4 linked regions of the Rhinolophus ferrumequinum genome follow. The protein of the gene in region 3 interacts with the protein of the main gene of each other region in a pairwise test. Links are inferred from orthologs where the notes say so. Each region holds a gene or a part of one and is shown on either strand. Other genes may lie near its edges.

Region 1 (7,459 bases), on a different chromosome or scaffold from region 3:
GTGCCTTAGTCTCTTTATCTCTAAAATAATGCTACTTAATCTCCTAAGTAGGCTTGAGTAGATGTATACTACATGCATACATGCAGAAACACTTAACAGGCTTGATACATAGTAAGCGCAATACATACGTATACCACTATTATTATAGCATTACTGTTATCAGTGCTATTATCTATCCCTAGTTAAGCTGGGTTCTGCCTAAAAATGTACTCAAAGTAAAAGATCCCGAACACAACTGCAGAGGACTCACAGATCCCAGATTAGAGCGATCCTACCAAAGTAACTTGGTTTATAGTAAAGTGGTTCTTAACCTCTCTGTACTATGGACCTATTTAATAGTCCAATTAACCTATGGATCTCTTCTCAGAATGTTTTTAAATATATGAAATACACAGGATCACAAAATAAACCAATTATATTATAGTCATCAAGATGTTTTTAAATTTAGTAACAAATGTGCTTTACTATTAAGTAACATTTTTAAGAGTAATGAGGGTAAACAATATTTCAAGATTATCTGCAAAAACTGTATTATATATAGAAATATTTATCTTGTGGCATTCACTGAAATTTCAAGAATTTTCAATTCTAGATTTCAATCAGATGCTAGTGGGAAAAAAAACAGGCAACTTTTTTTTCCTCAACCAAGTTCATGGACTTCCTCAATTCTATCTAGGGACCCAGAGTAAGAACCCCTGATTTAGAGGAAAAGTGCAAAAAATAAATTTTGGGACCTGAGACTTATGTTCTAGAAGCTAGACTTCAGACTTTAGTCTTCACATTATTCACACCTGAATGACCTTAGACATCAAACTTCTGAGCTTGGGTTCACTGGTTTAAAAATAATTCCTATACCATGAGGTTATAAAGATCAAATGATAGTTAACAAAATGCCAATAACCAGTGGGATTTTTTTTTTTTACTGATTTTAACATATATTCAGTCCCAAGTATTTAGTGACATTGTTAATTTTTTATAAAACTCATTATAAGAAAAATTTTAAACCACTTACTGATTCACACAAAAAAAAGTGATTCAAGGAAACATTGATTTTATGTAACAGTTTAGTGAGAGCCATGATTTGGCATATAGAATGACCTGTATCTAAATCTTAATTCCACTACTTTACTTTTACTAAGTTACTTAACCTCTCCACTTCAGTTTTCTCACCTGTAAAACATTGCATTGTTGTTTTAGAAACAAGAAAAGATCTTAAACACTCAATAAATGAAGCTACTATTAAAGTTCACATTTTAACAAAGCCAAAGGAATCAATTTGGAACTCAAAAGTTTATTTTGGAATTCATGTCGATATAAATACAATTTCACAGGCTTTCTTTTGTCCTGCAAAACACATACACACTTGAAACCTGCGGCATTTGCACGGCATAACATTCCTAACACAAACTGGCACTGCTTAAAATCATATCTGATTTCTTATTTCTGCCTAAAGGAAAACAACAGTGAGGATACAATCGGTAAATAGAAGGGCTCAGTAATTTTAAATCTTTTTATGCCTTACTTGGAATGTTACAATGAATGTTTATTATCAATGTTGGACATACTCTAAGGTAGCTGTGTCAATTTAAAACCCAATTTAAAGATCCCACATTTACCAGTGACACTGATTCGATTTTTAAAGCGAGAGTATGTATTTACTTTACGCCGTAATATTACGGAATAAGATCCCTCCCTTCCTCCAAAAAAACGCCATAGACTGGCCCCAGCTCCCCGATCCACTATACGCAACCTGTAAATTCCTTCCCTCATTGAAAAGATTCTTTTTATGGGCATAGTTAACAAGTGCCGAGTTGCGAAGTTGCAGCTTTGCTGGTTTGACGTTTTCACAATGCAAGAACAATATGATCTGGAATATACTCAAAGCATTAGCCAGGCAGTCAGCTGATGCTCACTGCACACAAGAGAAAGACAGAAATAAGAGAAATTAAACCTCGTATTTGTGTAAGGCAGGTATCCACTACTTTTAAAATCAAAATAGGCCAACAACAGAGTTCCTTAAAGTAATAAAAGTATTTCTATTGTTAAACAACAATACAAAAAAAAAATCTTCCCGCAGAGTAGGTTTCTCTCATTCTTGGAATTTTCCTTGTAAAGGGCTTTCGTCGGTTCATAAAACCAACTCCTCACCCCCCCAGCCGCAGCTTGAGTAACTTTTACAAAAGGTCAAAGCGGTGCCTTTCAAGGCTTCCAAACCCTATTGGCTTCTCCTCCGTTCACAGTAACTTACTTTCCGCCCACAGAACGTTCCAGAGACCGAGGGACTAGGACCAAACAAAATTTGGTGAGGGTTGTTAAAAAGAGGCTTTCAACTTTCTTTTCAAAACACTTCTACCGAATTCCAGCGTCCTCCCTCCGCGGCCCCACATGTTGCTCGCCTCCCTCCCAGAGGGCCCCGCGAGGCCTCGCTTCACCCCCCAGAACGCGCCCACCTGATTACCCTTTTCTCCGCAGACTCCGCCCCCTCCCCCTCCCCCGCCTGTTTGCCTCCTTTAGGAGATCCATATGGGACACTTCCCCCTTCCTCTGATCCTCACCCCACACCCGACAAGCCTCGATTCTCCCCCTTCTATGTTCCCCGACTCCGGCCCTCACATCCCACAGCTTCGGAAAGTGTTGTGAGAGTGCAAAGTGGAGCCGCAGGCCTGCACGGCCCAGGTGCTGTGTCAGCCTATCTGCCGGCTCCGCGGCGTGTACGGCCTGGAAAGTCACATGGCGGTGGGACCGGCCGGCGTCTGCACACTCTTGCTCCCTTCGGAGCAGGACGAGATTACCGAGTCCACTCACCTCCACGAAGAGCAACATGTCTTCCCCCTTTCGGCCCAATCCTTCTCGCCGCTGCTACTCCAACTGTACAGGCCCGAGCCCCAAACGCTAGGATAAGGACACTCGCCTGGCCCCTCCACCCGGCAGTGGACCCGGCTCCTCCCCCGCCGTCAGCCGCTGCGGCCTGACCCGCCCAGTCCCACCTCCCTTGAAACAGCAACTGTTTCCGGTTCTAAAGAACAATTGCTTCCGGGAGAAGAGACAATCTTCGGGGTGCTCAACTTTTGCACCACCTTTTCCCGCAGCAGCATGGAAAGTACTATCATCTGCCCTGGGAGGAAGAGGGAAGCGATCAGAGGAAGGCACCATTCTGTGCTACGGGGGTGTGTAAAAGTCGTACTGCGTTTTATCCATTGCCAAACAGATAACTAATAATTTCGTAGTTTTCATAGCTCAAAATCTAGATGTGATGAAGAGCCGAGTTTGTGCGAAGTGTTCTGAAGGAACGCCCAACGCTGCCGAAAAGGTGGTGGATAACAGAAAAAAAGTAGAGGAAAAGAAAAAGCACTAATAGTAAATATATTAATAGCAGCTGCTGTATATTAAATGCTTACTATGTGTTTGGCAGTCTAAGTATTTTACATGAATTAATCTGAAAACAATCATATGCAATATATACTATTATCCCCATTTTATCAGTTAAAGAAGCCCTCTAGAAGGGCGGGTTTCTCTTAGACACACCTTTAAAGAACTTTGCCCCACGTTCGCTTGAATCGGGTGCCCACATCTCTGCTTAATATAATGCTACTTAATAACACTTAGTTTGGATAGTCTCTTCTTGGTGTTCTGCCGTCAATTCAAATGAAATATAATTTTTAAAATTTCGTTATCTTTATAATTTTGTTAGATGATCCAAATTCCTTATCTTTAACAATACCTAGTAGGATTTATTCCTCCCTTGTCAGCCTCACTTCTATATCCTAGTTCAGACCCTCATCTTTTGAAATAGTCATGTCTTGATCTTCTCCAATGGATTTTTTCCCATTCTATTATTTCAAAAATCTTCCTAAATTGAAGGTTTCACTTTCACCAAAACTGCTGTTATTTGCTTTCAAGACCATTCTGATCCCACATAATCTACCTTACTTTAGCTCAAATGAATCTCCTTAGGTGCTAAATTAATTCCCCCATCAAATTGCTAGTATTTGTGTTTCATACTCTCCCTAATCTGATCCCCAGTAAACTCAACATTACTTCATCCCAATTAAACCGATCTCCTCACTTTTCCCCTGAAGCACAAACTCAGCACTCACCTCCAAAGCCATGGCTTAAAGGGTCTTCCTTATCTGGAATGGCTTCATTTGTCAATCAACCTTCTCTCTCCATGAGGTTTTCCCAATGCTCCCCACAGATCTCTTCTTCATGTCCCTTGTTAGCACTTGAATATAATATTATATTCTATCTTAAATCATTTTCCTTTTTTGTTTGTTTTCTAGTTGCATCACAAGTACCGTATCATATTCTTCACAGTTTAGGATGATGGTAGCCACATAGTTGTGTCTCAACAAATGCTTGTCAAATTGAAAGGGAGGGAGAGAGATTTTAAATTTGCTTTAAAAAGTCTTCATTTCCAGTTGCTGACAAATTCCATGATGCATAAACAATATGAGAGAAAGAGAGAACACAATAATGCTAAATTAGTTTAGTTGACAAGCATGTAGACAGCTTTGTGAATGCCTATTGGAGTAACCAATGTAAAGAAATCAAGAGAAATGAAAGTTATTTAAGGGTCTCACAATCTAATATTATCAACAAAGTACTTAAACGGATTAATTGATAATCTCAAGAAATGCCGGACAATGATGGGTATTTTTATCAAACCTCACATTTATAAAAATAAATAATTCTCCTTAATTGTCGTCCTTTCAGAAAACATGAAGTTCCTTGAATAGACTTACTTGTGATTTACAGGAAAGGGGGGAGTAATATTTTATGGCTAGGGGCAGAGTGGGCCTAACAATACAAGGAAGTATTCTGGGGCTTAGAAAAGTTTCCATAAGAAGAATCTGAAACTATAATGGATATCCAAATGTTAGACAGTTTCTGTGAGGAACTGAGGAAGAATATACCAAATGTTAGAAAAAGAAAACTAAGTACAGCATCTGGTTTTGAGAAGTTCACCAACTAGTAGATAGAGACAAATAATAGTTCTACTTCGATGAGTTAAGTACTATAATAGAAAGTTTACAAAGTGATTTGGAAACACAGAGGAGGGAGTAACTTAGACAAAGGATCTTAATTAAAGAGAAGGAAAAAGATCTAATTTGCTCTCGCTAAATATACTGGTATTTTTAAAAGACAACTACTTGATGATCCTCTGCCTCCCTTTCTCTGAAGGCCTGAAATATATATATTGTTTAACTTTACAAGTTTACAACAAGGACTCAACATAGGACTAAGTTCACAATAAGTATTCAAATAGGAAGTTCTTGTAGAGAACATCCAAAACTTGTATAAAATCTAAAACCTACAAAATGATATTATATAGTTTATGAATACATATACCTGTAGTAAAACCATATAAATATAGACTAGACATAAATACATCCAATTCATGATTGTCATTGCCTCTAAAAAGGGATAGAGGGGAAGGAAGGAATTTGGGGAGAACACCAAAGGGGTCTTCAATGTTATCTCTAATGCTTTATTTAAAAATATCTGAGGCACATATGACAAAAATGTTAATATTCAATCCAGGTGATAGACACATGGCTATATGTTATAGTATATATACATATGTTATATGTCATTTTTCATATCTTTGTAAATTAAAAATTAAGCTACACAGCCAACAAAACTACCCTGTCCTTGAATTCCTCCAGTCTCCTAAATCCTTTCATGTCCTCTGCAATCAAGGAAGCTGCCCAAAGCACTCCTCTTTCAGTTAAAAAGCAGCCCTAGCGTTCCCTTCAATTTCTGGAGTCAACTATGGAACTTCAAAGCCTCTTCAGTCAGGTTCCTTGAAAAAACAGGTAACTAGGTAGTGCAAAGAGCATGATAATCGTTCAAAGAACACCTTCCAAGTTACAGCATGTCTAGCAAAAGTTGAAGGGCAGCTGAGGAAGTTGTAACACAAGTATTCCATTACAGGCTGAAAAATTCTTAAGTAAAACTTGAAGAAGAGTTACTTGAAGGGAGTTACATTTGATACACTGGATCTTGAATTCTAACAGCTAGATTTTAAGCTCATGTAAGCGGGCTATTTCTTCTGTTTCTTTTATCGTTCCTGTTGTCTAGTCTTTTCCTACCCACCCTCCCCCCTCACCCTTCTACCATCACAGCATATAGAATGCCTAGTTCTCTGCATATACTAAGCACTCTTTAAATGTTTGAGTCAACAATAATGTCACAATGGGCCTATTATGACATCACCAGGAATGGAACACCATGGTTAGCAACCAATTAGTAGCAGGGTAAATCACAACCCTTGGAAGCGGAAAAAAACCTCTTCTAGCTTTTTTCTACACATTTGTTAGCATTTGCTTATATTCTGTGGAAAGAAGAAATAAAAGAAAATCACTCAACTTTTCAAAATATTTACCAAAATGCAAAATGAGACAAAAGATGAATCTGAATCAGAAAATGAAGTTATGGATCCCATCATGTCCAGAATAGCCCAATCAATGGTCTCTAAACTTGAGATCCCAGACACAGCACAGCAAATCATCTCTAAGATTGAGCAAGCAAAACTCTTTCGAGCCAGACAGGTAGGTAGTAAATGAGAAGTTTACAGGATGCAACTTTTTTTAACTTTCCATGACCAGCTACAGGTTTTTTTTTTAGAACTTACATTATTTGCATGATATTTGACTGTTTTGAGGTAACGTTGAGCTCAAATGACGATTTCTCCTGACTATGGATTACAAGCTCCAATTTTATGTTAATATCTTTCACTTTAATATCGGAATTAATCAAGTTTTAGAGAAATAAATCACATGTGCTACTGAGTGATTTGGACACAAAGAAAAATTAAAATCCATTGCCAATTTTGATATCTAATTTTAATCAATAGTTTTCATTTGTTCACAACTGAGTTTTTATCAAATAACTATTAATAAAGAGAAACATAGATTAATTTGAACTCTAGTTCCTTTTGTTTCCACTGAACATTTTTTGGAAGAGGGGTTTATTGGCCAAGAGAAATACAAAGCAATTAAAAAAGAGTTTAAATAATATATCAAATAGACTCCCAAACAATTAAGGCAGTGCTGTACTCTAATCTCAGATAGAATGCAACAAAATCAGTCAGGTTAACAAATTAACTCAGAGGCAGTTCTTTCCTACTTTCGGAAGTGCTGAATGGGTACATGTACTTTCTCATTCACCAGGTAGATTTACCGGAGTTCCAACTCCCCACAACTAGCAACAGTAACACAGTGTTTGCTTCTAATAGCTTCACTGAGGTGTAATTGCCATACAATAGAATGTGTATTTTTAAAGTATGTTTTAATATACATGAACTCCCGTGAAACCATCACAATCAACAATGAATTTACCCATCACCCCCAAAAGTTTTCACTCCCACACACCCTTCTTTGCCCCACCCCCACCAATCTGCTTTGTTACTATAGATTATTTTTCATTTTAAAAGAATTTTATATAAGTGGAATCATAC
Region 2 (6,961 bases), on a different chromosome or scaffold from region 3:
ATTGCACAATGTGGGATCTAAAAATGACTGTGCAAGCTGAAACGGTTCAAAGTGATCTTAATAATCAATGGGGAAAATTACATTTGTTCCAGGACCTCTCAAAATTGTCCTCAATTGTTAAAATCTCTCTTATTGTCAGTTATAAGTATACAGGGAAATGAAAAATAATAAAACCAGTATCTATTTAGCAAACTGTAATTTATAACATTAGAAACATTAACAATTAAAGTGTTTTATTTCTTCGTAAAAACATCAAAAGTAGTTTCAATAGTGTTTGTGCTTTTCTTCTTCCCAAGATATATCTTATGATAAAGCAAGCATCTTTTCTATGCCTTAGCAAATTGTTATACTCCTAAGTGTGAATCAACTTCCAACATTTTGTCCTTTACACTTTCAATTTTGTAAAATATCTCCAGGAGTTCCTCTAATATGAAGGCACTTTCAATTGGACATTTTCATACATTTTGTCATAAATACTTTCCTCATTTATGTTGAAGGTTCACATTCACTAAGTACTCTGACTGCTTATCTAGAATCTATCAAATGGTGTCATTGTCAATATTCTGATTGCTCTTTCTTCTATTGCTCCGTTTATGTTTGATTCAACTTGCTCTTTCAGTGTTACATCACTTATAGTTTCTTTGCGACACTTTCATCTTTGTTTGCCAGTTCCCTTTCAATTATCCATTTTTGTAAAATGTCACGTGGATTTATCAGTAGGAAACAAGGCAGTAAAACAACTATACACTTTGCTGTCTGTGCTTAAACTGATTAAGAGATCTACAGTGACTGCTCACTGACAAACTTTGAAAGAAATGGCATAATTGATCACGGAGCATGATGTGCATCTGTTACTTATGTAGTGATTTGTGGCCAGAAGAGCTAGCTGAGATTTGCACTTTATGTAATTACAGTTAATATTCTATGGTAATTGAAATTTGAACTGTGTTGATTGGTGCTGGTGTTATTTAACTAAATTATATTTGATTTGAGATTTGTATATATTGGAATCATGAAAAGTTAGAACTGCCTATACTCTAAAATGGCAAGAGTCTCAGACGTGAAGGAAGATGGGCAAGAGGAATATAAGCTCATTCTATATGAAGTAAGGCCTCTATCTGGGTGTCTGTTTGTCTGTGTGAACCTGTCTGTGTGTCAGCCTCAAATTCAGCATTACATTGGTCCTATGCACTTAATTTTACAAGTACAGTTTAAAAATATTTATGATATGTGCTTTCTTGGTAAATACTTTAGTCATTGGCTTGGATTTCTGGTTCAATATTACTTTCAACAGATTAGCATGTTCATTCATTTATTTGTTCATCTGTACCCAGTACAATTGGAGGGCAATAAAAAATTGTTCAATGAACAAATGCTGACTTCCACTACCCAAAAAGGAAAATTTGAAAGAGATTGACTTCACAAATTCATTTTGAGAAACACATTTATCTATGCACTTTTAGATCATTTTTAAAGATCCTAAATTCCAAAATGTTTCTAAAAAATATCATAAATATCTTTCTCTTGGACCCAGAGGAAATTAAATAAGCTTTTATTTCCCCTTCATTTTTTTTTTAGCTAAAAAACAATTATATAAAATTATTTTAGTTCCCAGAGGTGGGATATGTTTTTTTAATCTAAAAAATATTTTATGTTTGTCCTAATGTTCTTTTTGAAATATTTTTATCGTTAAATATAACGTATAGAGACTATTTCATAAAACATGAACATATAGTTTAATAATGATAAAGTGAGCAACCACAATAAAAGTCAAGAAATAGAACATTGCCAATATCCCAGAACCTCCTCTTTTGTCCCTTCTAGTAGTAATGTACTGCTTCCTTTCTAGAGAAAACAGCTCCCCTAATTTTTGTGATAATCATTTCCTTTCTTTTTAAAAATAGTTTTACCATTATGTACCGATCTCTAAACAATATATCATTAGTTACGTTTGCTTATTTCAAAATATCTATGTGAATGGAATCTTACTAATCTTTGTGTCTTGCTTCTGTTATTCAATATTGTGCCTTAAGAGTCATCCATTGGGTGGTGAACACACAGTGTAATTTATAGATGATGTGATACAGAATTGCACACCTGAAATCTATGTAATTTTACTAACAATTGTCACCCCAATAAATTTAAAAAATAATAATTAAAAAAAGAGAATAGAAAGGCCAGAAATTTACATACATATGAACAATTGATAATTTTGCTATGAGTTCAATAAAGATCTAAAAATAAAAAAACAAAAAATAAAAAATAAAATAAAGAGTCATCCATGTTGTTGCATGAAACTCTAATTCACTCATTTTCATTTCTGTATGTGTGAATATACTGTGGTGTTTGCAGTTTGGGATAATTGTGAACAAGACGTTATGAATAGTCTTTTTGCTGCTATGATCTGACTTTGTTCATGTATCCTTGTGCATGTCATTATTCACAGATTATATGATTGTGAACAAAAAAATCCAAAAGGATCTAACAGATAAATTGTTATAATTAATAAGAGGGCACGCAATTGCAGCAAGGTTGTTAAATACAAAATCAATATACAGAAATCAATTTTATTTCCATACATTAGCAACAAACTTAAAACGAAATTTTAAAATACGTCATGTAAATTAACATTAAAAATAGCAAATTTCTAAGAATAAAATTTAATAAACAATGAGAACTTTTGGAGAAAATTATAAAACTGTGGATTCTTTTAGATTTTCTATATATACAATCGTATCGTCTGCAAACAATGACTTTAATTTCTTCCATTATTCTTTTTATATGTTGCTATTTTCAATTTGCTTATATTTTATTTAGGATTTTTACATCTGAGTTCATGGATGAGATTATCCTATAAATTTTTTTCTTGTAATACTCTTATCTGATTTTGATATCAAAGGTTATGCTAACCTAGTAAAATTAACTGAGCAGTGTTCCTTCTCTTATTCTCTGAAAGAAATTAAGATTGAAGTTCTTGGTCTTTGAGAGTTTGATGGAACTTGTCAGTGGAATCATCTGACCCTGTAGTTTATTTTGTGGGAATATATTTGACTACCAATTAAATTTCTTCAATGGTTATAGAGTATTTAGGTTTTAAATCTTCTTTGTTAGTTAATATTGGTTAGGTATATTTTTCTAGTAATTTGTCCAATAAGGCTGAAGATCAAGTCATGAAGGGTCTCAGACAAGTCCTGAAGGAGGAAATGTGGTCTTATTTTCATTTTTAAGAATGAAAATTGTTTTTTGTGTTCCAAAAAACAATGAGCACTGATAAAGTTGACGAAACATTCTTCACCCTTGGAAAGCTTACAGTATAGTGGGAGAGGAAGTCATAAGAACAAATTACAATACAGTACAATAAATGCTAATAAAGAAACAAAGTTTATGAGGGCAGATAACTTACTTTGAGACTGAAGTTTCACTTTTGTATATCTTTTTGATTAGTTCCACTCAACATCTTTAAGCATTCTCAGACTTACATTACAGGCGAACATCTAAATCCCTTGGGAGCTATTAAGCAGGGATAGCCTTCCACAACATTTATCATTTAAGGTGTATAAATCAGTGGTTTTTGCTATATTCACAAGTGTGTGCATCCATTACACTCTATAATTCCAGAATGTTTTCATCCCCTTAAAAGAAACACTTCGTCCATTAGCAGTCATTCTCCATTTCTCTCTGCACTCAGCTTCTCGCAACCATTAATTTACTTTCTGTCTCTATGGAGTTGCCTGTTCTGTACATTGTACATAAATGAAATCACACACTAAAGAAACAAATAAATAAAAATGCGATAGCCAGCCTAGAGAAGCTTGAGTTAGTACCCAGTCTGACTCCTTTTTGGACTTAATCCCCTAGACCTGTGTTTATTGTTTCCACAGAGTATATAATTCAGTTTTATGAAAGACAATGATTTCTCTTTTCTTCCCTGTAGTTGTAGAGAATATCCAGGTGGTGGCTGCAGTTCCACCTTTGGTCTGGCTGCCATGTATCATGGACGAACTACTGGTAAAGGAGCCTCCACTCCCACACAGATATACGAGCGACCTCCGAGGATTCTCATTGTGCATATCGCTCTACCGTCCTGGGCTGACATCTGTTCCAACCTCTGTGAGGCTTTGCAGAACTTTTTCTCTCTAGCTTGCAACTTGATGGGCCCCAGCCGCATGTCCCTCTTCAGCTTATACCTGGTACAAAATCAGCATGAGTGCATCCTCCCCTTTGTGGTGAGTATATCTATATTTTTTTCACTTTATCCTGAAAGGAAATATGAGGTTTCTGAAGCAAGGATCACAGTTATTATTACTTATAGCATTAACTGTGCTCATTCTTATACCCAATACCACAGGCAACACAATGAGAGCCAGATGTCATCCTACACATAAGGAAGGGGGTGGGGGGCATTGTACTACAAAAGAGGAATCCCAAAATTATTAATATGGGAGTTTAAATAGGCTACATCTTGCCCCTCTCCACGCTTGAGAGAAGGAGAGAAACCTTGGCATTTACAGACCTTTGGAATATAAGCAACTGACTCTTCACACCTTTGAAATGCAAACACAGAATAATACATCTCTAAATTTCTTCAGAGGCCTCTGGTTATTCAATCACCCTTTAACTTCCAAGACTTGTCTTTTCACTCAGGTTCCAGTTTTCTTTGCTCAGAAAGTCCTAACTGTGCAGAAACATGAAAATGTGTTCTCTACTGTTTCACATGGGACTCAAATGAAATTCCCACTAGGGTTTCCGAAGGCAAAGGCTGGGCCAAAGCTCCCTTACACATAGACAACTGTGTCTCCTCATCATCAATCGAATTCAAATCTTCAGTTGGTCCCCTATACAAAGTTCAGAATCACAGGGATGGAAAGACTTCGGAAGTTCTAGTGCATCCTCTTCCTGAGGCAGCCTTGCTGCTAGGATCATCAGGGAAGGTCTGCTGGAGAGCCAGGACTTTTGTCCCTACCTGGTGGGAACAAGATCTCCTCCCCCTAGTGTCCATGGGAGCCATGTGGGAGCCTGTACGACCGCTCTCCTACCCTACATTAACAATGCCTCTGCCGCTGAGGTGATGCTGGAAGAGGCAGAGTGGAGGCCACGTGAGGAGTGGCAGTGAGGCACCTTTTTATTTCCAAGGCAGGATGGTGTCAGTGAAGGCCTAGTGAAAAGCCAGGACTTTTATGCCCACCTGATGGTAATGAAGCTTCCCCATCCCCAGAGTATCAGTGGGGGCCATGTGGGGAGACTGAACTTGCACCGCTACCCAAAAATAACAATGCACCCTCCCTTCTGGGTTGTAATCAGAGGCCAAATAGAGTTACACCCCTGGCAATAATTACCTGGAAACCTCACTTCCCCCACTGGTACAGTGTCAGAAGAGGCCTGCTAAAGCAAAATATTTAAATAAGATCCAAATCCTTATAATACCCAAAATGTCCAGAATACAATAAAAAGAAAATCACTCATCAAGAACTAGGAAAATCTCAACTTGAATGAGAAGATAACAGACCTCAATACTTAAATGACACAGATGTTGGAATTATCTGAAAAAGATTTTGAAGCAGCCATCATAAAAATTGACAAGTTTTCAGTGATTATTTCTTTGAATACTTTTTTTAGCCCATAGAAATTGAAGCATCATAAAAATGCTTCAGCAAGCAGCTATGATCATTATGAACATGCTTAGAATAAATGGAAAAAATAAAATCTCACCAAAGAAAAAGAAGTACAGAGAAGAACCAAACAGAAATTTTAGAACTGCAAAATGCAATAACTGAAATTTGAAAAACAAAAACCTTCGATGGTCTCAACAGCAGAGTAAAGAGGTCAGAAAAGAATCAGTGAACATGAAGATAAAATAGAAATTACCCATTCTGAGCAACAGAGAGAAAATAGACTTTAAAAAAATGAACAAAGCCACAGGGACCTGTGAGACGGTAACAGAAAATCTAACATTTGTGGCATCAGAGTCCAAGAGGAATGGGAAAGGAAGGTAGGGTAAAAAATATGTTCAAAGAGATAGTCACTGAAAATTTGCCAAATTTGGCAAGAGTTATAAACCTACATGTTCAAGATGCTGTCTAGCCTCAAACAGGATAAATGCAAAGAAATCTGTTCTAACGTAGAACAGATTCAAACTTCTAAAAACTAAAGACAAACTCTTGAAAGAACACTGACACCTTACCTAAAAGGGGAAAAAAATCAAGTAACAATTTTTTTCATCAGAAACTATGGAGGCCAGAGGAAGTGTCACATTTTTCAAATGCTGAAAGAAAAGAACTGTTGGGCCGGCCCGGTGGCTCTGGAAGTTGGAGCTCCGTGCTCCTAACTCCGAAGGCTGCCAGTTCAATCCCCACATAGGCCAGTGGGCTCTCAACTACAAGGTTGCCAGTTCAACCCCTCGAGTCCCAGAAGGGATGGTGGACTCCGCCCCCTGCAACGAAGATTGAACACGGCACCTTGAGCTGAGCTGCAGCTGAGCTCCTGGATGGCTCAATTGGTTGGAGCACGTCCTCTCAACCACAAGATTGCCGGTTCAACTCCCGCAAGGGATGGTGGGCTGGCCCCCTGCAACTAGCAATGGTAACTGGACCAGGAGCTGAGCTGCGCCCTCCACAACTAAGACTGAAAGGACAACTTGAAGCTGAACGGCACCCTCCACAACTAAGATTGAGAGGACAACAACTTGACTTGGGGAAAAAAAAAAAAGCCTAGAAGTACACACTGTTCCCCAATAAAGTCCTGTTCCCCTTCCCCAATAAAATCTTTAAAAAAGAAAAGAAAAGAACTGTTAACCTATAATTCTGTGTCCAGTGGAAATAAGGAATAAATCAGAAATAAAGATATTTTCAGGTGAAGGAAAACTAAGAGAATTTGTCACCAGCAGACTTACCTTAACAGAATTGTTAAAGGAAGTTCTTGAAACAGAAAGGAAATTCTAAAAGAAATAATCTTGGAATATCCA
Region 3 (7,198 bases):
CCAGGAAAGGGAGGAAAGGGGTGGGTTGTGTTGAGCTACGCTGCTCATGCAGTCAAAGCGTCCACAAGCCTTGGAAGGATGACTGGCTCCTGCTGCTCTCTCAGAGGTGCTGGCCAAATATCTAAGCTGTGGGCAGGCGGGTGTAGAGCAGAGATGGAGGGAGAGGCTACAAGACCTGAAACTTCCAGGCACTGTGATCCTTGTAGTCCAGAGGATCCATGGGGTTGTAGGCGAATTTCCAGGTGCCTGTGGGGTCCTTGAATTCCAAGCTGTCCACAGGGCTGTAGGCGCTGTAGCTCTGGCCTGACAAAGATGTGGGGGACTGGGCCAGGGAGGGTCCCACGGAGGGGCCCGAAAGGGGGCTGAGAGCCGGGCCCCCCAACTGGGGCACCATGGGAGAAAGGTAGGGATCCAGGCCACTGAAGTAGGAGCTGGGAGACCCATAGGCTGAGGGGGAAGAGCAGAAAGCAGAGGCTGGGGCGTAGGTCATGGTGTAGGGGGCTGAGGGGAGAGAAGGCCCTGAGGCCACGGGCAAAGGGGACTCTGAGGCCGGACTCCAAATGGACACAGTGGCCACTGCTGCGGTGGGAGAGCCTGAGGGGCCAGCTAGAGGGGGGCTGTAGGAATCTGAGATGCCCAGGGGGTCTGGACAGACATCCGTGGGGGCTCTTGGGGACGTGCCTGCCTTCCTCTTGGCAGGACGAGCCTTGGCCTGTGTCCCTGGAGGCTGCTGCTGCTGTTTCTGCTGCTGCCGCTGCTGCCTACATTTAGCTCTGCGGTTCTTGAACCAAACCTGGGGGGTAAGAGGGGAACGCCGGTGGGTGAGTGGGGAGGAGACCCAGGAGAGCCCCCATGGTGCCCAGAAATGATGTTGTTTATGGGTGAGACACACCAGAGTCACACCGCTCCACTTTGCAATCAGTTATAGGTCACTCCATCCATCCACTTATCCACTAATCCATCCATCTATCTATCCACCCACCTTACTGTCTGTCCACCCATCCACCCACTCATTCATACATACAACCATACATACATACATTCATACAAACACACGTGTCCATATCCATTCATCTAATCATTCACATATACATAAATACATTCATTTATCTAATACATACGTAAATCATATATAAATATACACATACAGTTGTACACACACACAGACACACACACACATATTTAACCATCCAGTCATGAGTACATATATGCAATCATACAAGCAAACACATACACATTGGTACATGAATCATACATACATCCAGTCATACAAATATCTAATCATACAAATACACACACATATACACATTCATCCATTCAATCAGTTAATAAACATGCATTAACCGTCTTCTACTGCTCTGGGGATATACATCAGTGGAGCTGACATTCTACTTGAGAGAGACAGATTATAAACAGTAAGTAAAGCACATAATATTTTAGAAGGTGATAAATACTACGGAAGAACCGATTGAGCAGGAAAGAGGGAGCAGTAGAGTTGGGGGATGTGGGGAAAGATTGCAACTTTAAATTCGACTGCCGGTGGAGGCCTCAATGACTTGATTGGTGGGTAAAGACTTGAACAAGGTGATGGGGAATAAACGTTCCAGGCAGAGAGAACAGAGAGTGCAAAGGTCCTGAGGCAGGAGTGTGCTTGGTGGGCATGTTAGAGGAAAACCGAGGGGCCAGTTGGCTGGAGTGGAGCGAGAAGGGTAGGAACACTGAGATGAGGCCAGTGAAATAATGGGGGTAAAGGATTATTCTGGCCTTTCATGACTGTGGCTGCTACTCTGTGGCTTCTTTCTCCTCCCATCACTCTGGGCCCCAAGAAGGGCCGGAACATCCCACCTGAACCCTGGACTCAGGCAGGTTAATCTTCAGGGCCACCTCCTCACGGGCATACACATCCGGGTACTGGGTCTTGGCAAACAGAGCCTCCAGTTCCTCTAGCTGGCTCCGGGTGAAGGTGGTCCGCTCCCGCCGCTGCTTTCTCGGGGCGCCTGGGTGGGGAAAAGGAAAACGGGACCCTTAGGTGACCTGGCTCCATTCTCTTCATCTGCTGGTGTGAGGCCCTGAGGGTGTGTGGGACGCTCAGAAACCCCTTCTGTGTGTTCATGTGCCCTACCCTTCTGGACCTTACTCCGCCTCCCTGGGTATGGGGTCCCTTTTTGCCTGTCATTTTGGGGCTCATGCCTCACCCCGAGGACACCTGGCTTTAGCCATGTAAGGAGGTGTATGAATTTGTTTTTTGGTCCCTTTCTAATTTCTTAGACACTAAAACATGACACTGGATATTCAACCATTTCTAGCCTATACAACTGGCAGATGCATAATGTTCAACTTAATGAAAAAACAAAACAAACACCAAACAGCTAAATAATAATGCCACCAAAAATACAAAGAGAGCTCACTTCTCTTAGAAATAAAGCATTTCTGGGCCGGATGGCTCAGTTTGTTAGAGCATGAGCTCTCAACAACAAGGTTGCTGGCCTGCAACTAAAGATTGAAAACGGCGCCTGGACTTGGAGCTGAGCTGCGTCCTCCACAACTAGATTGAAGGGCACCGACTTGGAGCTGATGGGCCCTGGAGAAACAAACTGTTCCCAATATTGCCCAATAAAATTTATTTTTAAAAAAAGAAATAAAGCATTTCTAACAGATGGAAATTCCTCTGGTTCCTCTTCCAGATCACTTCCCTCTCCTTCACTCCTGATGGAAACACTATCCTAAATTTCTTTGAATGTCTGTATACTTTCCTGAATCCCTAAGTAGTGTTTTGCATGGAGTAGTGTTTTGCATTTGCATATGACCCTGATGTCACCTCTGTAAGTGCCCGTCTTTTTCCTGAGGGCAAGGGACTCCAGAAGCCCCCAGTAGATGGGGGCCAGTCTGGGATGGCAGGGACGACTGTACTCACTGGGGTAGGAAACAGCTTGGTGCATCAAATCCACACTGGAGCCACTCAGAGCCAAGGCATTGACGGAATAGTGGGGCCCCGGGTTCATATACGCCATCATGGTCTTCCTGGACGCTGGTGCCCAGGTCAGTGGGCCTGCAAGAGAAGGGGTGCGGGGCTCAAACACTCCCAGTTACCGGATGGTGACAGGCAGGCTTAGGATCAAATCCTGCCTCAGTCTCTTCTTAGCTATGGGACCTTGGGCAATTTCTCTCTCCGCTTCGTGCCTCAGTTTCCCCACCTATAATAAATGGCCCGCTGCTTAGGGTCCTCAAAGCTTCACTGAGACGCTGTCCGTTAAGCAGAGCTGAGGCTGTAATGGACATCTTAAATAGAAGCTCTACTTCCTGCTCTGTCCTTTAAAAAATCTGATCCTGCCATTTCCCTCTCCAAAATCTTTTCTTTCTGTGACCCGGGAAAAGATGTTCAACCTCACGCAGAATCACAGAGAGTAGAGTGAGCAGCGGTCCCCGGTCTGACTGAAACAGAAGCTGTTTTAAAGATGTGGGGCTTCCGGGTGAAACCTGGGAGAGTCCCTGACAAACCAGGCTGGTGGCTCACCCTAATTGTATTAAAACGTCAGCAAGCGATGATCTGCCACGACCATTTTTGACCCATCGGGTTGTATGTATGTACTAGACGGATGGATACGGTTATGTGTGTATAAATGATTAGATGAATGGATGTAGGGATGGATACATGTGTGTTTGTAATGACTATGTGTATGAACAATTAATGGGGAAATAACTGTATTTCTGTTCCTTGAATTCATCTCTGAAATAGCTGGTTTCCAATAACTTAAATCAATCTTTGACCTGTTTATTACGTATGTGTCTTAGAGTCAGGATTTAAAATATTTTAAAATTACACTTTGACAATAAGGGTGTGTGTGAGGGTGTATGTGTGTAGTAGAGGTCATATACTACCAAATTATATGTAATAGTAACTATATAACATATACGTGTACAATATATATTATATATAGTCAAAGAAAAAATATGGTGCTGAGCAGTATGTATAGCATGTTACCATTTGTGATTTTTAAAACAAGGCAACGACAATAATAATATTATTATTATTATAGATGCATGTCTATGCATTGAAAATTTCCAGGAAGGACACAAGATAGGGTAAAAGTGGCTGCCTTGGGAGGTGTGCTATATCCATACATTATTTTTGCAGTTTGGGTTACTTTTTAACCATATATATGTGTCACCTTTTCAAAAACAAAATATAAACTCTAAAAAGAAAAGAAAAAGACATGAGAACATTTCCATGGCCCCTATCCGCTATTGCCCTCTTTAAGATGTCTCAGAAAACCTTGCAGCCTCTCTGGACACACACAAGCTGTTCCCTGGGCCAGAAATGCCTCTCCCCAGTTCAAAACCCCCTCTCACCAGCTAACCCCTTTCCTCACCCACGATTTCAGCTCAAACATCACTTCCCAAGGAAGCTGTCCCACACTCTCAGCTGGATCTCTCTCTCTCTCTCTCTCTCTCACACACACACACACACACATTTTCTCTCTCCTGTTCTTCAAGACCTTGCATGTATTAAATATGACACATTTTAACTTTGTTTACCTGTCTCCCCCAGCTCTGTCAGAGGAGTGCAAGGACTAGGTGTATTTCCATCCCTGCTCTGTCCCCAGCACCAATAAATATTTGAAAAGTAAGTAAATGAATAAAAAGTAGACGATATGTATTTCAGCTCCTACTCCTTTCTTCTCCCACTGCCCCATCCTTCTCATCTCTCACCTGAGAGACTTCTATTTATTATAAATTAAGGACCTACTGTCCATTCTGTAAATATTTTTCAAAGGTCCACCATGCTCTAGGAACTAGGGATGTGGCAAGAAATAAGACACGCAGCATCACTGCTCTCATGAGAGTGAACTTCCAGATTTGAGTCAGAAAAACAGACAGTGAACAAAGAAGTAGATGTTTTAGAAAATCAAAATGCTTTCAGAGAATTTCAAGAATTCCGGGAAAAATTAAATGGAAGAATATAATGACGAGGTTTGGAGTGAGGGTGACACATCTAATTCCGATAAAAGAACAGGGAAGAGCTCTCAGTAAGGAGGTGACCCTGGAGCTGCCAAGTTTCCTAGGCGTGGGAAGATCTCAAGGTCGAGGCTTTTCCAGGCAAAGGGAACAGCAGGTGCAAAGGCCTGGAGACTGGAATAGATTTTTCTTGTTGGAGGAGAAACAAGGTGTCCAGTGTGACTGGAGCAGAATGATCAAGGGGGAAAGTGGACTAAGATTATGCAGGACCTGATGGGAAGGTCACTGGGGGTCTCAGTGCTGATAATAATAAAAACAAAAACAACATTAAGTCCTAAGAATCTATTGGTGTCCTAAGCAGGACCCAATAATCTTCACCCTGGTCGTCACACCCTTGACTTGTCCTTCGCACTGAGCAGGGCTGACGTGTGCAACCAATAGGATATCGCAGAAATGACCCCATGACTTCCGATTCTGGCTCTCCTTCTGGAAGATGCTCGAGCAGTCCTATGGAGAAGTCTATGTGGTGAGACACTGAGGTCTCCTGCCAACAGCCATGGAGATGAGCCCCCCAGTCAAGCCTGCAAACGACTGCAGCTCTGGGCGACCTCTGAATCCAGCAGCAGACTCTGAGCCAGAATCACGCAGCGAGGCTACTCCTGGATTCCTGTCCCTCAGAAATCGTATGACATCGTACATGTTTACTGTTTCACATTTACCGTGAGGTTTGGGGACGACTTGTTACACAGCCATAGATAACTCATACACAAGCCTTTTCTATGCAGGATACCACTGAGTCCTCAGCACAACCAAGGGAGGTAGAGACTGCATTGCTATGATGCAGATGGGAACATCTTCAGGCTCAAGTGCCATGACTTGCCCAGGGTCACACACAGGCTGTGGTTGGGGACCCAGGATTCCTACCCTGGAGAATTCCTGAAGGCCCTGTCCTCCCAGTCCCCATCCTGGATTCCCTCTGTCCTCTCCCTCTTCTCCAGTTCCATCACAACTGCTAGACAGAGTAGAAACAAGCAGAACTGTGAACCTGTCCTGCTAGGGGCAATTTGCAGGACTTGGAGCAAAAGCATCGACTTCTGATGTCTTCACCATCGAATCCACACCAGGTTATCCCACTAAGTGGCTGGCCTTTGGGAAAGCCTAAATTTCTCTCACTGGGTGATCCCATCCTACAGGTAGGGAATCTGAGCCTCTGGGGGAGGCAGGTATTCACTCAAGATCAAGCAGCCGATAATGATAATGACCTCTAGGACGGAGGGTTTGCCAACTCCTCAGACACCTGATAAGAGCTTCATGGACAAGATGTCAGCAAAGAATAATAACAACAAAAATAAGATCAGACACCTGGTGGAAAGCTTTCTCTGGGTTTGGCAGCAAGCTGAGGACCTCAGGATTTCTTCCCTCGACAGACACTCAGCCGAAGGCTTTGTGTGTCTGATCTCAGGAGCACAGACAACACCTATTGTTGTTGACCTACTATATTGACCTTCTGTTGGTTCACTCGGCAGCCCTATTATCCTGCTGAGTGAATGTCGAGGCAATGGTGCTTCATGATCCCAAAGAGTGGGACGAGGGAGACCACTGTCCCTGCCTTGGGAATCAACCTGTGGGGCCATAGGCTGGTGCTCGGGGCTCTTGGGGTTCAGCAGCCGCTGGGTCCAGGTTCCCACCTGAGCAGGTGCTCTGACAGGTGAGCCTGAAGGCTGGCGCACACCTTGTGGATACTCATGGAGATCATCCATCCTACAGGTGGGGAAACTGAGCCTGAGGGGAGGGGAGGAAGTTACCTGCCCCAGGTCAGGCAGCTGATAATCCAGTGAAAACTTCCTACAAGGTAGGTCCTGTTATCATCCCACTTCACAGAGGAGGAAACGAAGGCTCCGAGAAGTAGAGTCCCCCGTCCTGTACACGTGTCAGCAGCAGAGCCAGAGCTGAGCCAACACCTGTCCCTGAGCCTGTGCCCTTCTGACCGCCAAGCTACACGGCTTCTTAGGAGGCTCACCACAGCCCCACGGAGCTCAGATGTCCATTTCTCAGATGAGGAAACTGAGGCTGAGTGAGGTTCTCTCAATTCTCGAGGTGCCACAATTCTCCAGGGGTGTGTGGCACAGCCGGGAATAGAACCTAGATATCTCAGGCTCCAGAGCCCTGCTCTTGATCCCCAAAACAACCTGCGATACCCCCAGAGCAGAATGAGGCCAACCCCCTCCCATGCCTGCGACAG
Region 4 (7,996 bases), on a different chromosome or scaffold from region 3:
TTTCTAGGGCCCATCAGCTCCAAGTCGTTGTCCTTCAATCTAGTTGTGGAGGGCGCAGCTCAGCTCCAAGTCCAGTCACCGTTTTCAATCTTTAGTTGCAGGGGGTGCAGCCCACCATCCCATGCAGGAATTGAACTGGCAACCTTGTTGTTGAGAGCTCACACTCCAAACAACTGAGCCATCTGGCTGCCCCTCTGGCAGCTCAGCAGCTGCTCATTGTCTTCAGTCTAGTTGTCAGGGGTGCAACTCTGTGGCCCATTTGGGAATCGAACCGTCAACCCCGTTGCCAAGAGCTTGCGCTCTAACCAGCTGAGCCATCCGGCCGCCCTGGGCACCAATACTTTTTAAAGTTCCCTTTGTGAGTCCTGTGTACTGCCAAGATGGAGAGCCACTGGCCTAGGAGGGTTCTCTCTAAACTGAATATAAAAATGAAAACCCATCTGCCCCTACTCCTAGTTCTGCTTCACGTCATAACATCGCAGGACTGAGCTCACCTGCTAGCCAGAAACATCTGGTGCTCCCTCCACACCACTGTGGGGCCCCCACTGTGTGCAATGCTCCACCAATGCTCTTTGGGGAACTTACAAAAGAGGCCAAAGAAAGGTCATTTCCCTCAAAAGCATGGGGACGTGGGAAAAAATGCACACATAAACACACGTAAGTATTGTACAATCGGGAGTTTCACAGACCAGGAAACGGACACTCTGAAAGGGGAAGTGACTGCCCAGCCAATTCATGGTAGAGCCAGGACTCTTACCCAGAATGCCTTTTTTCCACTCAGCTCATTTTCCCTTGGGCCCTAGCAGCACCTTCTGCACTTCCTGCACATTTGTTGGTTGGGCCCGGCCTGGAGCCAACATTTCACCAGAAGCAGCAGCCACCTATCAAGGCTTAAGGCTTACCCTGGGCCAGGTTTTGGACTAAATATTGTTGAATGAATGAATGCAGCCAGCCCAGCACCTGCCAACCGTCTGGCATTGAAACCAGTGGATTAAGTAATCTCAAAAATGAATCCCTTTGAGCTGTATTAGCTCATTTTTTCACAATTTAGAAGTCTCTAGGACTTCCTTATTCTGGAGTCCTTGCCTCGCACCACAGCACCCATATAATTCACCCAAATTCTACCTTCTACGTAATTTACATGTAACTGTGAGCTGACTTGAATTGCAATTGACTGGTTGATATAAAGTTATGTAGATATTTGATTCTATATTTGTAAACATCAATGTTTCAGGTGTTAAATGTTGGAGCTAATCCATTTATTTTCAGGTCCTCAAATATTTTCCATAGTTTGTTAGAATATTCATTAGTCTTGGACCCTCCCCTAATGTCTAACAGATCATAAGTGACCTCAAAATAAAGCGATTTGCATTTCATTGATGGCCTGGGGACAAGAGAGAGAGGTTTGGAGAACATGGTCAGGGTTGCCTTCAAGGACCAAGACCAGAGAATAGTTTAACTTTTTTTTTTTTTTTTTGGGTAAAAACTCTTTTGAGATACAATTCACATACCATACAATTCACTCATTTAAAGTATAAAATTCAATGCTTTTTTTGTATATTCATAGTTGTGCAACCATTACCACAATCAATTCTTTTTTAAACTTTTGTTTATTTTAAGTGTATTTTTCCAGGACCCATCAGCTCCAAGTCAAGTAGTTGTTTCAATCTAGTTGTGGAGGGCGCAGCTCACAGTGGCCCAGATAGGGATCGAACCGACAACCTTGTTGTAAGAGCACCGCGCTTTACCCACCTGAGCTAACCGGCCCCCCCACAATCAATTTTAAAACATTTTCATCACCCCAAAAAGAAACTTGTGCTCTTTTTCAGTCACTCTCCATTTGCCCTCCAAAACCCCCTTCCAACTTTAGAGAACCACTAATTTACTTTCTGTCTTTATAGATTTGCCTATTCTGGACATTTCATACCAATGGAATCATACAATATATGGTTCTGTGTTTGGTTCTGTCACTTAGCTTAATGTTTTCAAGTTATGGAATGTACCACATTTTATTTATCCATTCATCATTTGATTGACATTTGGGTTGTTTTCACTCTTTGGCTATTATGAATTATGTTACCATGAACATTTGTGTACAAGTTTGTGTGGATGCATGTTTTTATTTCTCTTGGGTCTGTCTATACTCAGGAGTGGAATTTCTGGATCACCTGGTAACTCAACATTTAACATTTTGAGGAACTGCCAGACTATTTTTGAAAGCAGGTACAGCATTTTATATTCTAACCAGCAATATATGAGTTTTCTAATTTCTCCACATCTTTGTCAACACTTGTTATTATCTGTCGTTTTTATTATAGCCATCTTAGTGAGTTTGAAAGTGTATCTCATTGTGGCTTTGATTTGCATTCCTTGATGGCTAGTGATGTTGAGTATCTTCTCATGTATTTATTGGCCATTTGTATATCTTCTTTGGAGAAATGTCTAATTCAGATTCTTAGTTCCTTTTTTAAATTGAGTTATTTGCTTTTTTTTATTGCATTGTGAGAGTTTCTTGTATATTCTAGCTATAAGTTCCTTATCAGACATATGATTTGCAAATATTTCCTCCCATTCTGTGGGTTATTGTATTTGTTTTCTAAGGCTGCCATAACAAAATACCACAAACTGAGTGGCTTAAATAACAGAAATTTATTTCTCACAGTTGTGTTGATCAAGGTGTTTGCAGGTTTGGTTTCTCCAGAGGCCTCTGTCCTTTAACTTGTAGATGGCATCTTCTCCGTGAGTCTTCACAAAGGCTTTCCTCTGTATGCTCATCCGTGGTATCTGTTTTTCATAAAGACACTGGTCATATTGTATTAGTGCTCCCCCCTAAGGGCCTCAGTTTAATTAACTTAATCACTTTTTAAAGACCTTATCTCCAAATACAGTTATATTTTGAAGTACTGGGGGTTGGGACTTCATGTGAATTTAGGGGCACACAATTCAGCCCAAAAGTTATCTTTTCACTTTTTTGATGGTGTCCTTTGAAGCACACCTTTTTTTTTTTTTTTTTAATGAAGTCCGATTTACCTCTTTTTTCCTTCGTTGCTTGTGCTTTAGGTGCCATATCTAAGAAACCTTTACTTAATTCAAGGTCGTGACTTACACCTATGTTTTTCGCTGTGAATTTTATAGTTTTAGTTCTTTCATTTCAGTCTGATCCATTTTGAATTCATTTTTGTGTATGATGTGAGGGAGGAGTCCATCTTTATTCTTTTGCATGTGGAAATCCTGTTCCCCTAGCACTATTTGTGGAAAAGACTGTTCTTTCCCTATCAAATTGTCTTGGCACACTTATTGAAAATCAGGTGGTTATAAATGTAAGTGTTTATATCCAGACTTTCAGTTTTATTCCACTGATCTGTGTGTCTATCCTTATACCCGTACCACACTGTCTTGATATCTTTGTAGTAAGTTTTGAAACCAAGAAGTGTGAGTCCTTCACCTTATTCTGAGCATATTTGAACTTCTGTCAAACACTGTAAGCGACATGAATGAACAACACAACATGGGGGTTTGGGCCTACACTGAAGGCTTCATTTCAGGAACACAGAATCCTGTCTTGGAGAGATGGATTCCGGCCCTCTCAGCCCTCAGCTTTTCATGATAAATCAGTGGAAACATTCTGCAGAGAACAATGATCCCCCTGGGTTTTTTAAGCATCACTTTAAGTCTTCCCCACCTGCTCTGCTAATTGCTCTGACTGAAACAGTGTCATTCACAACTGGATTATTAATGAACTGAGAGGAAGCCAGGAGGAGAATGGTGGGGAGAGGGGGCTTTCAGAGGATTTGAGGGGCCTGGAATAAGCCCAACCCAGAGTTTTTCACTTCCCCAAGAAAGGTTACTGAGTTTTCTTAGCAAGCAGAAAACCACTAAACTGTCAGCCTCAGAAGAACATTGCTAGTGAGTAATGACCCAGAGGAGTTCTTCAAACAAGACTGCTGGGAATTGAATTAACTGTGTACCACCCCTTAGCTCCCCAAACTTAAACCTTGTCTGCGCCCCACTGGCTGGCCCTAGGGCTCTAAGCTGGAGGTTGAGAAAGCTCAGGAAACAAGGCCCTTTGTGGAGAAGAGAACTCCATTGTTTTAAAGCCAGTGTTCAGCGAGTGTGGATTCCAGAGAATGTTTTGGGATGGGTTTTTCCCCTTTGTTAACTTTCTCTCCTCTTCCTGAGGGGGTGGGGGTGAGGAGTAGGGTCTTCTCAACAACAATCTTAAGATAGTTAAATCTCTTGTTCTGTAAAGAAAAGATGTTGCTCAGAGTGCAGGGGCCTTCAGTCCAGTAAAGAGGCTCGAATTTGATGATAGAAGTGACTGGACGTCTTGCTTTGTTTTTCATTTTTAGCATTAAATGTCAGGGAGGCAGCACCTTTCTAGAGCTTGCACATCTCAAACAGTGGCAGACGTCAGCTTAGGTACGACCACTTCCTTCCTCCTCCGCTTCACCTCCTTTCTTTCCAGAAAAAGGAAATGATGCAAGTCCACGCCGCAGGCTACGGCGCCCAGGCTCCCAGGTCTAGCTTCAGCTCCCCCGTACCCCCAACTGGGGGATCTACTCCCACAGACCTGTCCCCAGGGCGAGGCCTGGCCCGTCTCCTTGATGTCCTAGGAAGCCTTCAGAGTCAAGCTGAGCAGGCCCTCAAGGTAAGAGACTTGAATTCGTGGCACTGTACTAATTCTTGTGGCCTTGGGTAGGTATCGCTCCTCTCTGGACTTCACGATGCCCTTCCGTCAAATGGGAGCAAAAGTACAGATCTGGGCTTCCCCCTTCCCGTGGTGGTGGTGGAGCGGGGATGGGGAGAAGACTATACCCAAGCCTGGCCGCATCCCAACTTTCTTCAATTTCGAGCTGCTCAAAGGAGGGGCTCCCATTCAAAGGAGGGGCTCCCACCCGAGAGTGCCTGGACCCTTCAGGCGGAGCGCGCCCACCCACTTCCCGCGAGCTCAGGCCCCGCCTTGGGGGAGGAGCCGAGGGGCGGTGCCGAGGCTCGCGGGGAGCAGAGCTGGTTTCTGTCCCTCACCCGCAGCGGAGGCTCGGGGACTGACGGACAGAGCCGGGGCCGGGAGCCTCCGGGGCAGGGCTCGGGAGAGCGGGTGAGTTCTCCAGCGGCGCCGCCTCCCTGCTGCGCTCTGCGGCTTGACCCGGTAGGGGATGAGGATGGCGGCGGGGAAGTGGTCCCGGCCTCTGACAGTCTGGCTGGGGGTGTGTGCGGCGTTTTGGCCAAGGGCCAGTGGCTTAAGATAATTGGGCGGGGGGGGGGGGCAGTAGAAAGGCGGGTAGCGGGAGCTCAGGACCGGAGAGGCTGGCTGGGGTGGGGGCGTTCTCCCGGGTCTCGCGCGCCAACGATGAGGCCGGGATGCGGGGCGCATTGGCCGGTTGTTGGCTGGGGTCGCCGTGGCCGGATCATGGGGCGGCTCGGGAAATTTCGGCTGGACTCTCGGGTCACCGTCTGCCCGGGGGCGTAATGCCGGGAATTGGGAACCACAACCAGCATCAAACATCCCCGTTGTCCAGCCTCCGGGCCCGGCTTGGGGGCGCCGCCCCCTCGCGTGGCGCCGCTTGGTCCCCTCAGGCAGCGGCGGGGCGCAGAGAGCGCTCCTCCCGGAGCGGGAAAGGTCCCCAGGGCAGGCGACCCCGCGTGTCCAGCCGCCCCGCCGCGGGATCCAGCTGACAGAGCCCTCCAGCCCCTGTGAGACCCCGCTCGTGGTTGTTCCGGGGGAGAGGTGCGCCGGGCCTCTCCAAAGGGCCGCGTGCGCCGGCTGCTGGGTACCCAGCTCCCGGAGCGCTCTTCTCCTCCCGAGTCCCGCGCTTCGACTCTGGCGGGAGGAGCGCCCCCGAGCGCCTAGGATGGGCAGAAACTGTGCAGCTTGCCCCAGAGAGGTCGCACGGGGGGTCTCCCCAAGGTCACCAGGACCGCCCAGGCTGAGCTGCCAGACCGCCCGAGAGGAGAGCAGGGAGGAGGAGGCGCTCGCTGCTGCCTCCTTCCCTGATGCAGACTCCCTCCTTCCCGCCTCCTCCTCCCCCAGTCCGGGCCCAGCTTCACTGGAGATGCTGATGATGCAGCTCCCAGCCGCGGGCGGATAACTGAGCCTCCGCGAGCTTTGAATCTGGCCCTCCCGGCACCTCCGGCGCCCGGACGGGGAGAGAGAGGAGAGAGAGAGACACGGCTGCTTAAGCGCTTCTCAGAACCGAAAGCCGAGCTGCTTGCGCGCCCATGTGATTGGATTCCACATAATGGGCCCCTGTTCTCGCTGTCAGAAGCGCCCACCAGCTCCCCGCGGTCCGGGCACCAGGTGCCGCCTGTGAATCGCCCTCTGTGGAGGACCCGGGCCCTGAGGTACCAGGCGCCCTTGCCCGCAGGGATCTCTCGGGAAGGGGCCCGTGGTTAGCTGCCTCAGCCCGCGGGGATACTTCCTTGTGCCCTGCCATTTCCTGCGGCTCGTACAGCACCGGGAAAACCCCTCCGTCTGGGAGGCCTCCTCCTAGGCAGGTAATAAAGCTTCTTAGCTCACTCAACCAGTGACTAGCTGTTTGCCCGAGGGCATGGCACTTGGCCTCTCGGAGCCTCAGTTGCCTCTATAAAATGGGGCTAAGAATCAGGCTGTGGGGGAGGGCGGGGAGAGGACCCATGGGAAGTGCTTGGTGCAGTGGAGCATGGCAGGATGAGTGCTTCTAGGTAAATGCTGGCGCCTTCCATACTGGTTTTGAGTGGGGCGTGTCTCTCAGGCAGGGGCAAAAGTGGAGCCCTGGTAGGTGGTTCTGCAGGGGTCGGGGGATTTTCTACAGCTCCTTCCCTCAGCTCTGTCAAAAGGAGCCAGCTTGCAGGCAGCTGGTGGGTGCTGGTGAATCCTTTCAGCTGGCAGCCTGCTCACAGGGCCTTCCCACACAAATCCCCAGCCCTTTCTCTCCCACCTGCCACCGGGATGTTGGGGACAAGATGTCAACCAGACCACTCTGGATGTCCAACTTTGCACCTTTCTGTCATTGGGAGTCTGCCTGACAGTGTCCCCCATCCTGGAACCTTCCTGACCCCTTGGCTGGTCCCAGCTCTCCCCAGCCCTGGAGTGTCTTCCTACAGGAAGGACACTTGATCCTTCCTACCCCTCTTTCAGTTTCCCCCATGTGACTGCTCGGTGGCTTGTGCGTTGGCTCTCGTTGCATCTTGGTGCTCTCTGAATCTTCCCTGGTATGGAATGACATGGCGGGTAAGGCCAACGCATGCTTAGACTCTCTCTGGTAATTGATGCTGAAGTGAAGGTTAAATTCTAGTCTAGTTAAGTCTGTTTGGGAGCCTGAGTCACAGGCCTAAGAGGTTGCTGACACAGGAAGGCGGGTTTCCCCCCAAGCCCAGAAACTTCCTGCAAAGCCCATGAGGACTTTGGAAACTAGGGGCCCCAGGTTCCTTTCAAAACCTGCTCCATCTCCAGAGTGAGCTTTCTCTGACCACCAGAGGCTGCAGCCAGTCTGCTTTTACAGGTCACAGCAGGTACATAGCTGGATCTGTGTGCTGTGCTTGGACCCTCAGGAACCCAACCCAACCTTGCGCCTCCCCCAACCTAGCTGTCCCGCGCCCTCCACCTGCACCCAGGACTTGGAGCATTTGATATATAGTGAGTCCCAGCTGGCATTTTCTGGTGGAGAAACGAGGACAACCTTCTTTATCTTGAACACATCTCAGAGACTGGGTTTCAACTAGGGTTTGAACAAGCCAGCTTCCTACAGAAAGCTACAAAATATGAAGAGCAAGGGATCAGGCAGGTCTAGTTCAAGTTATAGCTCTGTGTAAAAGCTCTGTGACCCTGGGTAAATTATTCACTCTATTTTTTTAAATGTTTTTTTAAATTTTAATTTTATTGCAGAATATTGGGGGACAGTGTGTTTCTCCAGGGCCCATCAGCTCCAAGTTGTTGTCCTTCAATCTACTGGTGGAGGGCACAGCTCAGCTCCAAGTCCAGTTGTCATTTTCAATCTTTAGTTGCAGGGAGCGCAGC

Evidence for each region.
Region 1: the proteins of CRX (region 3) and LARP4 interact in binary tests that used the Homo sapiens proteins (3 or more experiments, as listed by UniProt). The two-hybrid records come from large-scale screens. The link is inferred for Rhinolophus ferrumequinum from reciprocal best matches to the Homo sapiens genes CRX and LARP4.
Region 2: the proteins of CRX (region 3) and M1AP interact in binary tests that used the Homo sapiens proteins (3 or more experiments, as listed by UniProt). The two-hybrid records come from large-scale screens. The link is inferred for Rhinolophus ferrumequinum from reciprocal best matches to the Homo sapiens genes CRX and M1AP.
Region 4: the proteins of CRX (region 3) and PPP1R16B interact in binary tests that used the Homo sapiens proteins (3 or more experiments, as listed by UniProt). The two-hybrid records come from large-scale screens. The link is inferred for Rhinolophus ferrumequinum from reciprocal best matches to the Homo sapiens genes CRX and PPP1R16B.

What each region holds. Positions count from the first base shown.
Region 1 is NC_046293.1:51,101,819-51,109,277, reverse strand, and holds the start of LARP4 (la-related protein 4), read right to left. Parts: upstream 3,019-7,459; 5' UTR 2,824-3,018; coding exon 2,806-2,823; intron 2,389-2,805; exon of another isoform or gene 2,249-2,388; intron 1-2,248. Other genes in the region: protein FAM186A, read left to right, coding at 3,254-3,331, 6,381-6,551. UniProt on the Homo sapiens protein: RNA binding protein that binds to the poly-A tract of mRNA molecules. Associates with the 40S ribosomal subunit and with polysomes. Plays a role in the regulation of mRNA translation.
Region 2 is NC_046296.1:17,443,138-17,450,098, forward strand, and holds the start of M1AP (meiosis 1 arrest protein), read left to right. Parts: upstream 1-3,941; 5' UTR 3,942-3,986; coding exon 3,987-4,226; intron 4,227-6,961. UniProt on the Homo sapiens protein: Required for meiosis I progression during spermatogenesis.
Region 3 is NC_046298.1:43,662,210-43,669,407, forward strand, and holds CRX (cone-rod homeobox protein), read right to left. Parts: upstream 3,015-7,198; coding exon 2,915-3,014; intron 1,998-2,914; coding exon 1,846-1,997; intron 794-1,845; coding exon 167-793; downstream 1-166. UniProt on the Homo sapiens protein: Transcription factor that binds and transactivates the sequence 5'-TAATC[CA]-3' which is found upstream of several photoreceptor-specific genes, including the opsin genes.
Region 4 is NC_046306.1:17,491,648-17,499,643, reverse strand, and holds the start of PPP1R16B (protein phosphatase 1 regulatory inhibitor subunit 16B), read left to right. Parts: upstream 1-4,980; 5' UTR 4,981-5,098; intron 5,099-6,343; exon of another isoform or gene 6,344-6,495; intron 6,496-7,996. UniProt on the Homo sapiens protein: Regulator of protein phosphatase 1 (PP1) that acts as a positive regulator of pulmonary endothelial cell (EC) barrier function. Involved in the regulation of the PI3K/AKT signaling pathway, angiogenesis and endothelial cell proliferation.